Linked DNA regions of Sus scrofa. The protein of the gene in region 3 interacts with the protein of the main gene of each other region in a biochemical or structural test. Links are inferred from orthologs where the notes say so. Each region holds a gene or a part of one and is shown on either strand. Other genes may lie near its edges.

What was found.
Region 1: the proteins of BCL2 (region 3) and FKBP8 form a complex in vitro, tested with the Homo sapiens proteins (4 studies listed by BioGRID, with this or other methods). The link is inferred for Sus scrofa from reciprocal best matches to the Homo sapiens genes BCL2 and FKBP8.
Region 2: the proteins of BCL2 (region 3) and PMAIP1 interact in a biophysical measurement, tested with the Homo sapiens proteins (2 studies listed by BioGRID and IntAct, with this or other methods). The link is inferred for Sus scrofa from reciprocal best matches to the Homo sapiens genes BCL2 and PMAIP1.

Annotation. Positions count from the first base shown.
Region 1 is NC_010444.4:59,254,875-59,260,106, forward strand, and holds the start of FKBP8 (peptidyl-prolyl cis-trans isomerase FKBP8), read left to right. Parts: upstream 1-1,671; 5' UTR 1,672-1,791; intron 1,792-2,079; exon of another isoform or gene 2,080-2,169; intron 2,170-3,214; 5' UTR 3,215-3,239; coding exon 3,240-3,534; intron 3,535-5,232. UniProt on the Homo sapiens protein: Constitutively inactive PPiase, which becomes active when bound to calmodulin and calcium. Seems to act as a chaperone for BCL2, targets it to the mitochondria and modulates its phosphorylation state.
Region 2 is NC_010443.5:161,184,677-161,189,802, forward strand, and holds the start of PMAIP1 (phorbol-12-myristate-13-acetate-induced protein 1), read right to left. Parts: upstream 3,463-5,126; 5' UTR 3,286-3,462; coding exon 3,222-3,285; intron 619-3,221; coding exon 512-618; 3' UTR 1-511. UniProt on the Homo sapiens protein: Promotes activation of caspases and apoptosis. Promotes mitochondrial membrane changes and efflux of apoptogenic proteins from the mitochondria. Contributes to p53/TP53-dependent apoptosis after radiation exposure. Promotes proteasomal degradation of MCL1.
Region 3 is NC_010443.5:158,335,689-158,341,002, forward strand, and holds the start of BCL2 (apoptosis regulator Bcl-2), read left to right. Parts: upstream 1-1,714; 5' UTR 1,715-3,056; coding exon 3,057-3,638; exon of another isoform or gene 3,639-5,314. UniProt on the Homo sapiens protein: Suppresses apoptosis in a variety of cell systems including factor-dependent lymphohematopoietic and neural cells. Regulates cell death by controlling the mitochondrial membrane permeability. Appears to function in a feedback loop system with caspases.

The DNA.
Region 1 (5,232 bases), on a different chromosome or scaffold from region 3:
GCTAAGACACTGAGAAACAGCATACCCTTCCCTGATTTTGAAGATCTTCCAATCTATTGGGAGAGGCAAAGGTAAATCAACTGATGGTACAGACACAAGTAAATTAGCTATGAAGTGGGGGTTCACTGTACCAAGGATGCAGCCAATCAGGACACCTGGCTTTGCTTTGGGGTGGTCAGGGAGGGCTTCCTGTAGGAGAGGACTTCACAGCTCCTATCTGAAAAGTTACCTCCAAAAGCCAGTTACATCCTCCACTGTTAGCTACCTCCAAAAGCCAGAGTCTCACTCATTTACTAATTAATTAATTCAATTATTCATTCATCTCTTGAACTCCTTTAGGCCCTATTGGAGGTATTGGGGACAAAACAAGCAAAATTCTTCCCAGGATGTGGAGTTCCTGTCATGGCTCAGTGGTTAACAAACCCAACTAGGATCCATGAGGTTGCAGGTTCCATTCCTGGCCTTGCTCAGTGGGTTAAGGATCCAGTGTTACCATAACTTGTGCTGTAGGTCACAGATGCAGCTCAGATCTGGTGTTGCTGTGCCTGTGGCATAGGCTGGTGGCTACAGCTCCATTTCGACCCCTATCCTGGGAACCTCCATATGCCCTGGGTGCGGCCCTAAAAAGACAAAAAAAAAAATTTTTTTCCCAGGATGGAGCAGAGTTGGGGAAAGCAAAAGTATGAACATGATCTGGAAGAGGGTACTGCTGGGACTAAAACAAAGTAGAATGATGGAGGAATAAGTGTCCCCCACTTCAAAACAAGAGCCATAAAAACCCTTCTAGGGAGTTCCCGTCGTGGCGCAGTGGTTAACGAATCCGACTAGGAACCATGAGGTTGCAGGTTCGGTCCCTGCCCTTGCTCAGTGGGTTAACGATCCGGCGTTGCCATGAGCTGTGGTGTAGGTTGGAGACGCGGCTCGGATCCCGTGTTGCTGTGGCTCTGGCGTAGGCTGGTGGCTACAGCTCCGATTCAACCCCTAGCCTGGGAACCTCCATATGCCGCGGGAGCGGCCCAAGAAATAGCAACAACCACAACAACAACAACAAAAGACAAAAAAAAAACAACAAAAAAAAACCCTTCTAATTGATGCTGCCACCTCTTCTGGGGCCATGGGCACCTTATCACACTCTAGCAGAGGGTGCCAGGAGGATGGACTACTCCCAGTGGCCCTACTCTCTCTCAACAACTCACCTAGCCATTACTGAGTTCCTCCTGTATTCATTAGGCTACCTTCTCGGAATTAGAGGGACTACACAGCGGGGCGGAGATTTGTGTGTGTGCCCTTCTGCACGTCGTTTGCCCTCTGGGCCTCAGGTCTACATTTGCAACTAGGGGTTTAGGGTGGGTCAGCAGTCCGAGTTGCCCTGACAATCGAGCCTGTGCTCTTTAAGGAAATACCATTTAGTGCTGTCCTCCAGTGGATGTTTATCCCCATTTTGCAGATGAGCAGAATGAAGCTCAAACAGGAGTTGTGAGTCTGACCAGGCTGTGCGGCGCTGACCTGCAAACAGTCACAGATCTACAGCTCCCTGCCCCCGCCCGGGGGTGGTGCTGTGGCCTCTACCCCTTTAAGAACGCCCCACGGATACAAGCAGGAAGGGGGCGGTGCCTACGCCCGAGACGGACGTGCGTGCAGACCAATGGACGCTGAAGTCACGGTGGCGGCGGCCAATGGGCGCGGTGAGGGAGGGGCTGGGCGCCAGAGCCTGGTTCCCGAGGCGCGGCGGCCGCGGCTGGGGGCGGGGAGGGGGGCGCAGGACCCCAGGCGGGGGTCCCGGAGCCGGAGGCACGTGTCCCAGGGCGCCGGCGGGGCCGCGGCGGCCGGGAGCGCTGCCCGGGCTTGGGCTGGTCCGGGGGCCGGCGCGGCTGGGGCTGCAGCCGATAGGCTGGGTGAAGGGCCGCGGGGGAGGCGAGCCGGGGGGCCCCGCGGGGTCGGAGTGCCGGAGGGGGCGCGGCCGGGCGGGGGCTGCTGGGGGTGGGGGCCATGGAGGGCCATGGGCAGCGGGTGGGGGCGCTGCTGGTGAAGACGTGCAGAGTCGGGGGTGCCCGAGGGGTGCGGGGGGGTCTGGAGCCCCAGACGTGGCGTCAAACATGCGTGGGGCGTTGGGGACTTGGCTGGGAGGTTGACGGAGGGCCAGGCCGGAGCAGGGGGCGGCTGGAGAGCGTAGGGTGTTATGGGATAGGGATGGGGGCGTCTGGGGACATTAGGGTTTTCAGGGGAGAGAGAACGGCTGTGGGGGGAGCTGGCCCGGGCTGGGGGCGATGGTTGGGGTGGGGGGAGGGCTACTTACGCGGGCGCAGGGGATTGTGGGGTGTGAGGGCTGGGAGGGTCTCAGAAAATGAGACCCTATCCCAGAAGGAACAGGCAGGTGAGCGTTAGGAAGGAGATGCAGTGGGTTAGAATGATGGTTCTGCCACCTCTCAAGCTTGGGGCCTGGGGGTGGGGGCCAGTTCTTGATGGTCCAAGGAAAAAGCCTTGGGGGTCTCAAGCACTCCTGTGAAGGAGGCTACTTTGAGAGGGTGGTAAGAAGGCCTGACGAGTGGAGAAAGCCCTGCTAGGGAATGGTTTGGGTGGTTTGGGTCAAGGTCTCTGGTGTCGGGGTTGGCAGGGTATTAGGTTCAGTGTATGGAAGGAAAGACTGGCCTTTCTGGGTGGCTTTCTTGAGGAGAAGGGACAACTGAGGGTGGGGAGCCCTGGTAAAGATTCAGTTATTTTTCCCTTGGGCTCTAAAAATAGCCTCTTCAAGATCTCAGGGGTTGTCCCTCTGAAAAAGAGCCCCAGTACCTGCTCTGAGCATTTCATTAGATAAAGCCCCAGGTTCAAATCCAGCCCCTTGTGTTTGGCTTGTGTTTTGACCTTGGACCAATAGCTTTGGCTTTCTGGGCCTCAATTTCCTTTTCTGCTGAGGGAGGTGGGGGTGGGGGTGATGGGATATTCCCTACTTCCCAAGGTGTTGATAAAGATTAAGTAATAATTGTTTCTAATAATAGCTAACACTGTTTGAGCCTGATGCCCAGGGCTTGATGAGTGGGTTGTTAAGTCCTTTGGACAAACCAGGGTTGTTACTGTACCCACTGTATAGAGGAGGAAACCGAGGCCTGGAGTCCCTGAGTCACACAGAGCAAGTGATTGGCAGTGTGGGGAGTGGATGCAGAGGAGAAGTTGAAGGCTTGGTGGTATTTTTACCTGCATCCATTTTCCCTACCAGGGCCAATTCCCGTCCCCCCAGCAGCATGGCGTCCTGTGCTGAGCCCTCTGCTGCAGGCCCTGAACCCACTGCCCCGCCACCTACTGGAGCCCCACCACTTGAGGACTTCGAAGTGTTGGATGGGGTGGAAGACGCAGAGGGCGAGGAGGAGGAGGAGGAGGAGGAGGAGGACCTGAGTGAGCTGCCGCCACTTGAGGATGTGGGGCAGCCCCCAGTGGAGGAGGCCGAACAGCCCGGGGCCCTGGCCCGAGAGTTCCTGGCCGCCATGGAGCCTGAGCCTGAGCCCGCCCCAGCCCCAGACGAGTGGCTGGACATCCTGGGTAAGGAGCCGGGGTGGCTCGGGTTGGACCACGGGGCCCAGACAGCTCAGGTGCGGGAGTGACCTTGGCCTGGGCTTTCTACCCTGAGCCTCATTTCCCTATCTCTGTTTTGAGGTAGGTTGGAAGTAAAACGTGTAACCACCGTGATCATCAGCCACAGGTAGTTGCTTGAGACACTTCATGGCTCAGAGAGGCTGAATCACCTGTACAGGGCCACACAGCCAGCTCAGCAGGCTCTGACAGCTTTCAACCCCCGCTCCTTTTCTTGTCATTTGTCTGACAAGTACCTGTCCCTAGAAAAATGTTCTGAGGTCAGATAGACCTGTGGAACATCTCATTTTATTCATCACTCTGTCAGGTTCAAAGTATTCATTAGTGTTATTAGTGTGCTCATTGTTTAGAACAGTCCTGCAAGAAAGAAACCAGGAGAACCCACACATGTGCTCCTGTCCCCTATAACCCTTCCAGCACCTCTAGAAAATAAACATAATGCTACTAGTTCTGATATCTAATATACTGAATAATGCTAATGTCCAGACAAATAACAGTGAAACATCCTTCCTGCTACCTTTAATATTAACAATACAGTAGTATCAAATAATGCTGACAGGAGTTCCCGTCATGGCGCAGTGGTTAACAAATCCGACTAGGAACCATGAGGTTGCGGGTTCGATCCCTGGCCGTGCTCTGTGGGTTAAGGATCGGGCGTTGCTGTGAGCTGTGGTGTAGGTCGCAGAGGTGGCTCGGATCCCGCATTGCTGTGGCTGTGGTGTAGGCTGGTGGCTACAGCTCCGATTAGACCCTTAGCCTGGGAACCTCCATATGCCGTGGAAGCGGCCCAAGAAATGGCAAAAAGACCAAGAAAAATTAAAAAAAAAAAAAAAAATAACGCTGACACTAATGAAACAGAATTGGTACTGATTTCGCTTCCACCACAGGTATAACCTTTACTACTCCTAAAGATAACAGCGGGTAGTATTTACTGAGCCCTGGTTTTGGGCCTGTGCTTCGTCTTATTTTATTGTCATAACAACCCCATGATGTAATTCCTAACGTATCCCCATTTTATAAATAGGGAAACTGAGGGTCAGTGAGGTGAAGGCACTTACTTGCCCAAGGTCGTGCAGCCTCCTTGGCTGCATTAAAGTTTGGAAAGTTCTTCTGTGCTAATACTAAGATCTGCACTGCACCCTGTGTGAGCATGAGGCTGGCTCCGTTTGTTTTTATTCAAGCCAGCTACTTTCTGAGGTCAGAATTCAGGCTTCTAGACAAAGAAACTGAGCCTTGGAGAGGGGATGTGATTTACCCAGAGTTTACTCGCTCTGGATTAAGACCCTACCAGCACATCCGCTATTAGTGTCCAGAAACCTCAAAGATTCAGGGGGTCCCTTGGTATCCACTAGATCAGTGGTTCTCAAACTGCATGCAGGAGCATGTATAAATTGGGGAGCATTACAGAAATTTGGAACACTCTAGAATATTCCAGAATATGAATTGCTATCTCCCTGCCCCTAACCTTTGGACTAGGATCTACTTAGACTCCCGGTGGCATTTTCCAAACCAGTGGTCTGTTATAGAACAGGGGTACTTGTTGGAACATGGGTAACTACGGATGCTGTCAGTCTGTCGTGCCCCATAGGTGTAAGCCTTCTGTCACCCCAGCAGTTGTCATGGGACCACAGTGGGTGTTGTCGTGGT
Region 2 (5,126 bases), about 2.8 Mb from region 3:
GTGTTCTCATGAAAAAAATCCTTACTTTTAACAAGATAATATATATAAACTAAATACTACACATTGCTCTGGAGCTGCCATACAAAAGCAGAAACAAACATTGAACATATTCTGTTTCTTGACCCTTGCCCATAAGCTAATCATTTGGCAACTCCTTTTACACCAAGCTGGGCAGCAACCTTCAGCAAAAAGACTAGAACAAGACTCTAAAGCAAAAACCAAATGTATAAATAATAACTCCCCTATTTTCATAACTCTCCCATTCCTGCTTCAAAATTAACAAAGTCATTTTTTAATGTTCTTGCATCCGAAACATCGACTTCTGGAAAACCTTCAGCAGAAACTCATTTTTGACCCATCCGTCTTCGATTCCTAGGGCATCCAAAAGCAAGTGAGAGCTCCTTCACATTCTTCTCCATTACAAGGCATTCTCTCCTCTAACTGATGAAATCTGCACCTACTGGGGAATCTTCCATTTTAAAGGAGTCTCCTCATTCACAAGCTTCTGAAGTCAGGTTCCTAGGCGGAAGAGTTTGGCTATCAGATTCAGAAGTTTCTGCCGGAAGTTCAGTTTGTCTCCAATCCTTCTGAACTGAATGGCACACTCGACTTCAGGATCTGAAAAAGAAAACATCAAAGTTATCCTGACAACATTGCAAACGGCAACCAGCAAGAGTTAAAACGTTCATCCCAGAGACAAGTTGAGTGTTTATCCCAGCGTTTACCTTTTAAGCACACTTGTTTTCTAAAATGTGAGAAAGGCTACTTGCTGCCCCTCTCAAACACACACACGTGACATACACCAATACACGGTGATTCATAAACAACCAAAAGTTAAAGAATAAAGACATTTATTTTGCAATCCTGGATGAGGCAAATGTTATCTTACTTTCAAATATAGACATTTATGTCACACACCACAAACAGCAAGCCTTTGCCAACCCAACTGATGTCATCCTTTTCTTTCTCATTTAAAATTGGTTAGAGACAAGTCAAATTCTAAATTCTTCTATGTTGTTTTTGAGTATAATTTATTTTGTAAATGGCAACCAATAATTCATAGCTCAAATTATGCCCTCATACTAGGCAAATCTAAATGTATTCTTAGCCTCATGAAATTTTCTCTTGAAGGATTCATAAAATCTTATTCCAAAATGAAGTCCACATTTTCTAAAATAATTATAAGTTTACACATGAGTCTAAGCCAAAGTCTCCCCAAACTGTACCAATCCATTGCCTTTATGGAGATAAGTGAAGCACAAAATAAGTAATATTTAATTCATATACTTACTACTTTTTAAGATATTGTATGGGGGGGAATCTTTATAATCTAATTTCCAAGTGAACTTTTTAAGTAGATGGAATTAACACCAAATCTATACTGGTCATAATTTCAATTTTCTTGGATATTTCCAAGAACAATTCCGCTTCTTTTTGGTTCAATTCAACATCATGATTATAAACACTAAAAATTATGACTGTAAGTTAAAATCTGATTTATTTTATAAGCAGACCCTGCAGATAGCCTATTTAGGCTCAGATAAACAAAAACTGTAAATATATATTAAAGTGGATTTTTAAACCTACATTTCAACCAATTTATCTTTTCCTAAGAGCTGAGTTAAATTTTCATAATTCCTAAAAAAAAAAACTTTATATAATCTCTGAGACCTAATAAATCTCTTGTAAGCTATCTTTCTTTATAGGCTACGGCGTCAAGCATTTGGAGAAGTATCTACAAAGACATGTTTTTTTCAGTGAGTGGAATATATTAACATGCTATCCTAAAAAACAAAAACAGAAACAAATTATCACTTAGCATACAATTTTGGAAGCCCTGAATTGTAAGAGGAAAAACTATCCCTTTCATTAAAAAGGGCAGATAATAGCACCTAGTTCTTTCCTTTTTGTTTTTTACATCTATAAATGTATTAATTTTTTGTTACATCTATAAATGTATTAATAAAAAATGTAACTGTGTGGTGATCGATGTTAACTAAACTTACTGTGGTAATCATGTCATAGTACACACATATATCAAATCATGGTGTACATCTAAAACTAATACAATGTTACATGTCACTTATACCTTAATTTTGGTTTTGTTTGTTTTTTTGTTGTTTTTACTGTATTACTGTCTAACCAAGTTTAAGAGGGACCTTTCTGCTGTCTCTTATTAATAGGGAGTAAGTCGGCTCTTGAAGATGATGGGAAATTTTTTGAAACATGGCCAGATTTCTGGGCCAGCACAAAAGACGGGCAAAGTTTCTTCCCTCCCAAGCAAGAGTCAAGAGAGCAGCCTGGTGCCAGCTTTGCCATGACCACACGGGCAATGCACCACTTCCTTTGAGCGGTCCATGGGCTCTAAAAAGTTAAACTAAGTATAAAACGGCCTATTACCATCTGATGTAACAGCAGTATGACCCACACAGATTTCCAGCTCAGAGACTTATTTGCCTTCTTTGCAACTGCTCCTTAGGAGCAGATGGCTGCTCCATTTGATAAGATTTATAAGGAAACCGACCTTAAATTATTTGATGAGGTACACGGATGGGGAAGGGCAGAGGAACGGGTGGATTGAAAAACATTGCGGACCAACTCCTGTTCTCCTACCCCATTTCTGCAGCTAATATCGATTGTTAAAATGTTACACTTCTAACAAAGAAGAAAAACTTTCTATTATCCTGATTTCACCAGTCCTTGTGGGACCTCCAACCCCTCCGTCAGTTTTTTGTGGAAGGCCTGTGATAGTATCAAGCATTATTACTGCCTGGGGTAGGGGGGTAAGGCTCAAAAGATCCAGAATACGGGAGGGAGAGGGCCTCCCTCAGAAAACGCTGGGAGGCCAGGAAGCTCCTGGAGCCTCTCTCGGCCCCACCCGCCATGGCAATGACTTTCTCCGCGTGGCTGGCGCCCGTACTTGCTCTTTTTCTTCCCATGGCCCAGGGGCAGAACAAGTGGGGATGGGAAAGCTGATCTCAGCATCCTCTGAAATGCTGCTGCATCCCAACCCTAAGCCGGACTCCCTCCCTGGTCATATCCACGGTCCGCGGTTAAACCCCTAAAGAACTTCCTGCCGGCGCCCCTAAAACATGTGCAAGGGCACAGCGCCGGCCTGACCTTGAGGCCCGGCGCACATGGGGTGACTCCGCCCGGACCGAGACCTCGACCCCAGCCTCCGCCCCGGGTCAGGATCTCCGCGGGCCCCAGCTGCTCTCTACCTGGCGGGAGGGCCACCCGCGTAGGGTTCGTCTGAGTGTTCCTACGAGACCTCCTTCCAGGCATCTCCGCAAACAGCAGCCGGAACTTTGCCGCAAAACTCCGAGAACTCAGTCCCCGGACCCGAGCACCTTGGCTCTGCAGGTAGCAGGCTGCGCGCGGGGCGGTCGGGCAGAAGCGAGCAAGCGGGAGAGAGCTAGAAAAGCAACACCCTGAACGCCCAAAAGCCTCTGAGGTTGGCGCTCCCGCCGCTGCCCGCGCTCCGACCTAATGGGGACTTCCCAGTGACGTAGAGAAACTTGACGCCGGGCCCGCCCCTGTCCCCGCCCCCTCGGACCAGCGCGCAAAGGGGCGGGGGGAGCGAGTAACTGGCCCAGCGCAGCGCGCGGTGCAGCGCGACCCGCCGGGACCCGCTGGCGACCTGCGGCGGCGCCGATCCGCGGCGGGGGGCGCCGGGAGCTTGGCGGGAGAGGCAAGGCCCAGCCTGGAAATTACTTCCTTGACAAACGAGTCAGCTGCAGACTTGTCGGGGTGTAGGAGTCGCGAGCGGAGAAAGGTTCTCCTAGCAGAAGGTTGGGGATGGGGAATCCTGGAGCTTCGTCCTTATCAGAAATGGGCAATTAGCGACGTCTGTAAACAAACCCCGAAAAGAGTTTAGAAGAGGACAGTTTTCAAACTCCGAGAACTTAGGAAGTTTCTGGGACGTGAAATGAAGAAAACTTTAATAACCATAGAGATGGTACCAGAAGCCAAGTGAGAAAAGTACCAGATTGAAACTGAAACTATTGGGAAATTGTTGCAAATTGAAAACTCGGAGCACGCGAGCAAACACTTTAGATTTGGGAGGGGGAGGGAATGTGAATGAGGGAGGGGGCTAACTAATTCACGGCTGGGTTGAAAAAGTAGAGCGTTTATTCCCCATGGGTCTCCTGACCATTGTAGATGTTTAGTAACACAAAAAAAGAGTAGGTCATCGTGTAGAAAACTTTCAATGCTTTGGTGGAGGAAAGAATGAGGAATCTGGGAATAGGAAGTTATTTGCACGATGTTTGGCTGGCACTTGAATACTTTTGTTTTTGTAAAAAGGAGGAGTCATTTGGAATGGTCATAGGTATTGAGGACCCCTTCATGCTAAGGGATTCCGCAGGCATTTCCTATTCTGTCCTCAGAACTACCCTACCAAGCTGGCATTCTTAGCATCGTGTGGCCACTTTAGATCGTGTGGTTCAAAAGCTGAAATTTGCAGAGATCGAGTTGCCTCAGCTCACACAGGCAGAGATCAGTGGCAGAATCTGAACCCTGGCAGGCCCATACCGAGCAAGCCCTCTTACCCACTGCCGCCTTACCAGGAATCAGTGTTTTAGAAAAAGAGTGTTCTTTTATTATCTGCCCTGAATAATGCAGAGGCTGTAAATTGGTTGCTTAGAGCTCCATGACTTTCTAGAAGTGCTTGGTTTGGTTCTCCGTATTGGTCTACCAGATGTCTTGTGAAAATTCGAATTGGTTTTCCAACATTTAAAAATGGAGAGATTACATTAAAAGTCCAGATTTCTGGCTTCCTTTAGGAAATCATTAGTTCCTGACAACGCAGGATCCGTTTTCCTAAAGAGCAGAGCGGGCTGGAGGCTGCCATTCCCCGTAGAGAGACATTGGGCGGGGTCACTCAGGTTGGCCACGCTCCCTGCTGTTTGTTTTTCTCATTTACTTGATCTGGCCCCAGTAGGCATTTGAACTTGTTTGTTTACCTTAAGTCACTCAATCAACACAAACCTGCAGGTTTTTATTTGTGGCTTGGTCCTGCAGAAATGTAGACAATGCTATAAGCATGGAACAAAACTACTCTTGAATTTAAACAATTTGGTTTTGAGTGTGATGAACACCCAGGGATAAGAATACACAAAATTCAG
Region 3 (5,314 bases):
CTCTTTATGTGAACAGAGAGCCCAGATCAATCGATACCCAGTGTCTCTCTCCAGGACAGCATACCTCCACGCCGCTGCCATGGATAAAAGGCGACACTGTCACAGTTGGGAGGCAGGAAGTACCATCTTCATTCATTCTCTCTTGCCAGGATAAGACATTTGTACCAGACATCCATTCCTATATGCAAGAGGCTTGGCATTGTTAGCTGATTGGCTTTGATGGGTGAAGAAAGGAAAATAATTTGCTGTGCTTATTTTGCCAAAGAATGAATGCTTTGATTTTAGATTAGGAATGAGACAAAATAAAGGTAGTGTGAGAACATATTTGTACTTGTGGCAGTACTCACGTGTCATGTTTCTATGATCACAACAATCCAGTATCCCTATATGTTTGTTCTTGAGTTCTATTAGGTAAGCTACCCTGCTATTTGTAAATTTTTCTTGGTGCTTTATTTGTCAAAGACTCTTAGAGATAAAAATAAACACATGCCACTTGTTTGCTCTTTGTGCCTTTCTCCTGGGGGCTGTTCATGCTTGTGAATAAAAAAAAATGTGTATATAGTGCGTGTGCGAGTCTGTGTTTGTGTATAAATAACTCGAGAAGGTGCAGCTATCTAGATTGGCTGCTAGGTGGCCGTGGACCCACTTACCCTGGTTTGGGGGCTTGGGGCCTTAAGGTAGCCCTGTAGCCTCCCACGGTAGCGTGGCGGGCAGCCCCTAACCCAGTGCCCAGACTGTTAGTAGAGGAAAAACATTGACTTAACCACTTGAAAGCCCTTGGTATATACCCCACTAATCCCTCTGCCGGGCCACTGAGAGCTATGTCTGGCTTTGGTCATGGATGGTGTCACCGAAGTGTATTCTCTGCGTGGACACCTAGGAAGCAACTTGAAAGTAAACACACGCTTGGGGCTTCCCTCGCTGATGAATGTGCAGCAGCGTCGCCTCCGTTCGGAGGGCAGCGCTGAGGTCTCTTTGCTTCGGTCAGCATCTGCCAAGCGCTGGTGTGTACACACACAGGGGCTGCTGTGTGTACACACACACAAGGGCTTGTGTGTACACACACACACACACACACACACACACACACACACGGGAGCGCGCGCGCGGTTAGGGCCGAAGTGATTACTGGCGCTTGTTTTCTTGGCGCCCACCCCCGTCCCCTAGCAGCCACCCATCCGGCCGCGTGCGGTTCCCCCGGCGGCCCTGGCCGCTCGCCGGGCCCTCCGAAGGCCCGAAGAGGCCCCGCGCACACCCACCGCGCCGCGGCCGCGCGGGAGGCCTGCGCCGCCCGCGCCACCCACCGGCTGGGCCCAGCGGGCAGGCTGAGCGAGCGGGCGGGCGGGGGCTGTCCCGGGCTCGCCCTCCCCGGCCGCGGCCCTGCGCGCCATGTGTCCCCGCGGGGCGCGCCGCTCCAGAGCCGGCCGCGGCTCCTTTAACCCAGGGAAGGGGAGCGGGGCGGAGGGGGCGGAGGGGGCGGTGGGGCGGCTCCGAGGAGGGCTCTTTCTTTCTTCTTTTTTTGAATGAACAGTGTGACGTACATACAGGAAACCAGTCGGTTAGAGGAGAATGAAGTAAGAGGCCAGCCCCCCCGGCCCCGCGCCCGCCCCCTTCCTCCCTGCGCTGGCCCCCGCCCGCCGGGCTCCCGCCCGCCAAGCTCGGTTTCCCCGCCGAGCCGCCGCCGCTGCCGCCGCCGCCGCCGCCGCCGCCGCTGCCAGCGAAGGTGCCGGGAGCCGAGCCCTCCCCGCCGGCGCGGCCGTCATCGCCCTGAGCGGGAGCGCGGGGGAGGCGGGCGCAGCCAGCTCTGCCGCGCAGGAGCAGGAGGAGGAGAAAGGGTGCGCAGCCCGGAGGCGGGGTGCGCCGGTGGGGTGCAGCGGAAGAGGGGGTCCAGGGGGGAGAACTTCGTAGCAGTCATCCTTTTTAGGAAAAGAGGGAAAAAATAAAACCCTCCCCCACCACCTCCTTCTCCCCACCCCTCGCCGCACCACACACAGCGCGGGCTTCTCGCGCTCGGCACCGGCGGGCCGGGTGCGTCCAGCCTTCATTTATCAAGCAGCTTTTCGGAAAATGCATTTGCCGTTCGGAGTTTAATCAGAAGAGGATTCCTGTCCCCGTCCCCGGCTCGTCCACCGGCCCCCGGTCCCTGTCTCTCTCCCGTGGAGGCGTGAAGCGGCCCCGCGGATAGAAATCCATGTCCGTGCCCGCGCGTGTGTGTGCGTGTGTAAATTGCCGAGAGGGGAAAAATCACAGGACTTCTGCAAATCCCGGACTGAAAATTGTAATTCATCTGCCGCCGCCGCTGCCTTTCTTTTCTCGTGCTCTTGAGATCTCTGGTTGGGATTCCTACGGATTGACATTTCTGTAAAGGAGAAGTCTGGGAATCAAACTGGAAATTCTCCTAATTTTTACACCTCCTCCCCCAGCTCCTGATTCATTTGGAAGTTTCAAAGCAGCTATAACTGGAGAGTTCTGAAGATTGATGGAATCTTTGCCTTATGCATTTGTTTTGTTTTCACAAAAAGGAAACTTGACAGAGGATCATGCTGTCCTTAAAAAATACAAGTAAGTTCTTTGCACAGAAAATTGGCTTAATGTAACTTTCAATGGAAACATTTGAGATTTTAACTTTTAAGTGCATTCGAGTAAGTTTAATTTCCAGGCAGTTTAATACATTCTTTTCAGCTGTGTAACTTGTAGTGTGTTAAGCCCTGCTTTCACCCAGTGTATAAAGGGAAATGCACCTGATTTTGACTGATTAGTTTTTTTAACCTTTCAGCATCACGGGGGAAGTAGACTGATATTAACAATAATTAATAATGTGCCTCATGAACTAAAGATCCGAAAGGAATTTAAATAAAAATTTCCTGCATCTCATGCCAAGAGGGAAACACCAGAATCAAGTGTTCCGCGTGACTGAAGACACCCCCTCAACCAAGAATGCAAAGCACATCCAATAAAATAGCTGGATTATAACTATTCTCTCTTTCGGGGCCGTGGGGTGGGAAGCGGGGGCGAGAGGTGCTGTTGGTACCCGGCTGCTTTTCCTCTGGGAAAGGATGGCGCACGCTGGGAGAACAGGGTATGATAACCGGGAAATAGTGATGAAGTACATCCACTATAAGCTGTCGCAGAGGGGCTACGAGTGGGATGCCGGAGACGCGGGCGCCGCGTCCCCGGGGGCCGCTCCCGCACCGGGCATCTTCTCCTCCCAGCCCGGGCGAACCCCCGCTCCCGCCAGGACCTCGCCGCCGCCGACCCCGACCGCCCCCGCCGCCACCGCCGCCGCCGCCGCCGCCGCGGGGCCTGTACTCAGCCCGGTGCCACCTGTGGTCCACCTGACCCTGCGCCAGGCCGGCGATGACTTCTCTCGTCGCTACCGCCGCGACTTTGCCGAGATGTCCAGCCAGCTGCACCTGACTCCCTTCACCGCGAGGGGACGCTTTGCCACGGTGGTGGAGGAGCTCTTCAGGGATGGGGTGAACTGGGGGAGGATTGTGGCCTTCTTTGAGTTCGGTGGGGTCATGTGTGTGGAGAGCGTCAACCGGGAGATGTCGCCCCTGGTGGACAACATCGCCCTGTGGATGACTGAGTACCTGAACCGGCACCTGCACACCTGGATCCAGGATAACGGAGGCTGGGTAGGTGCATGTGTGGTTGAATGTGAGTCTGGGCTGCGCGTTAAGGGTCTGAGATGCAGTGGTTGGAGTGTGGGTGGGCTGCTCGACCAAGGGCGGGCGGATGAGCCAGTGCTATAAAATCAGGTTTGTGGCTTCCCTCCCCATTTCCCCTGTTCAGAGCTCTCTCCCTGCCAACCGTACTGTGATCATTCCTTCCCGCCAAAACTGTTTGCCTTGCTTGCCAACCGTTGAGTTTCAAAGATCCAGGCTTTGCTATTCAGTAGGCTCTTGGGATAATGGTATCCCTTCAGTGTTTTTCAAACTGGGAGTCCAAGGATCCCCAGCATTACTGTACCTGGCCTGAGTAGCTCCTTGAAATCAGAGACAGGGCCAACTCATAAACTGACCTCAGGCTGGGCCCTGGGAATCTGCATCAGAAATAAGCCCCTCTGGGGGTTTCTTCTTTGTACTAAGATGTGAGAACCACCCAATTAGAAGAACAGACTCCCCCAGAAGACCAAGGTCATGCCTTCTCCTCACTTGGTAACATCTACCCAAAGAGGAAAACCAATGGAGCCTATTTCCCTGAAAATCTTGGATGTTTGTGAAAAGGTAAATTGTAAGTTGACTTTCCAAAAGTCCGGCCATTCCAAGCTGCAATGTGAGCCACATTCCCAGTGGGCATGACCCATTGTCTTGAAGAACACTCATCTATGGGTGTTTATTTCATCAGTGGCAGAATTTGCATTCGCTGCACGCTTTGTGTTCTATTTCTATAACTTGTGTATGATTTTGAGGTTTACTGGAATTTTACTGTCTTACTTTTCACCAACTAGAATTCACATCATTTTGGGTCTTCTCTGCTGGATAAACGTGAATCTACAGTATCTATATAAAGCATAGAAGAATTGATTCTTAGCTATGGATTCCTGTGCTCTGACTTTAGTTGAAGTGATTAATGCCTGTATCTTTGAAGAACATGTGTGAGCATATTTTTTTTTTTCTGGTATTGTGCTAGGTAGAGCCTTCATTATGTCACCATAAATTTCTTTTTGGGTGTATGATTCTTTGGGGGTGGGGTACAGGTCCTAAGACTGAAGAAGTGTAATTGAAGTCTATACTTTATATATCTAAAATTATTAATTTATGAAAAACCAAGAAAAGGAATAATTTTTGTCTGAAGTTTTTGCAGACTTTTTGTTTTAATCTAAACAATTGTCTTTGAAAAAGGATGCAGTTCAGTGAGAATTGCATCCTTTATTAGGAGGATTATAGGGAGAATTACTAATGCTATTATTTTATGGAAACTAACAGGAGCAAAAAGCCTAGCAGTTACTATAAGTGGATTGGATTTCAAGATGCACATTACATATTTTACTACAGTTTACAAAGTGTGCTAATATTAAGGGGCCAAAAAGAGAAAAGGCCAAGAAAAGTAGATGACTGACATGAACATCTGATCCTACTTGACCAAAGTTGACAAAATATTGATGCCACTGTTCAGTGTTTAAAAGTAAACATCCCCATTTCATCTCTAAAATTTAAATGCTTTTTGTGAGTTGTTTGTTTTTTGAGATCCCATACTACCAGATCTTTAGTAATTCTGGAAGAATGCAGTAAACGGTGAAAAGAATATTTTTGTAAAATGTTTGGTTAAGTAGGTGGTTTTATTTTTAACCACCATAACCAAAGAGGTA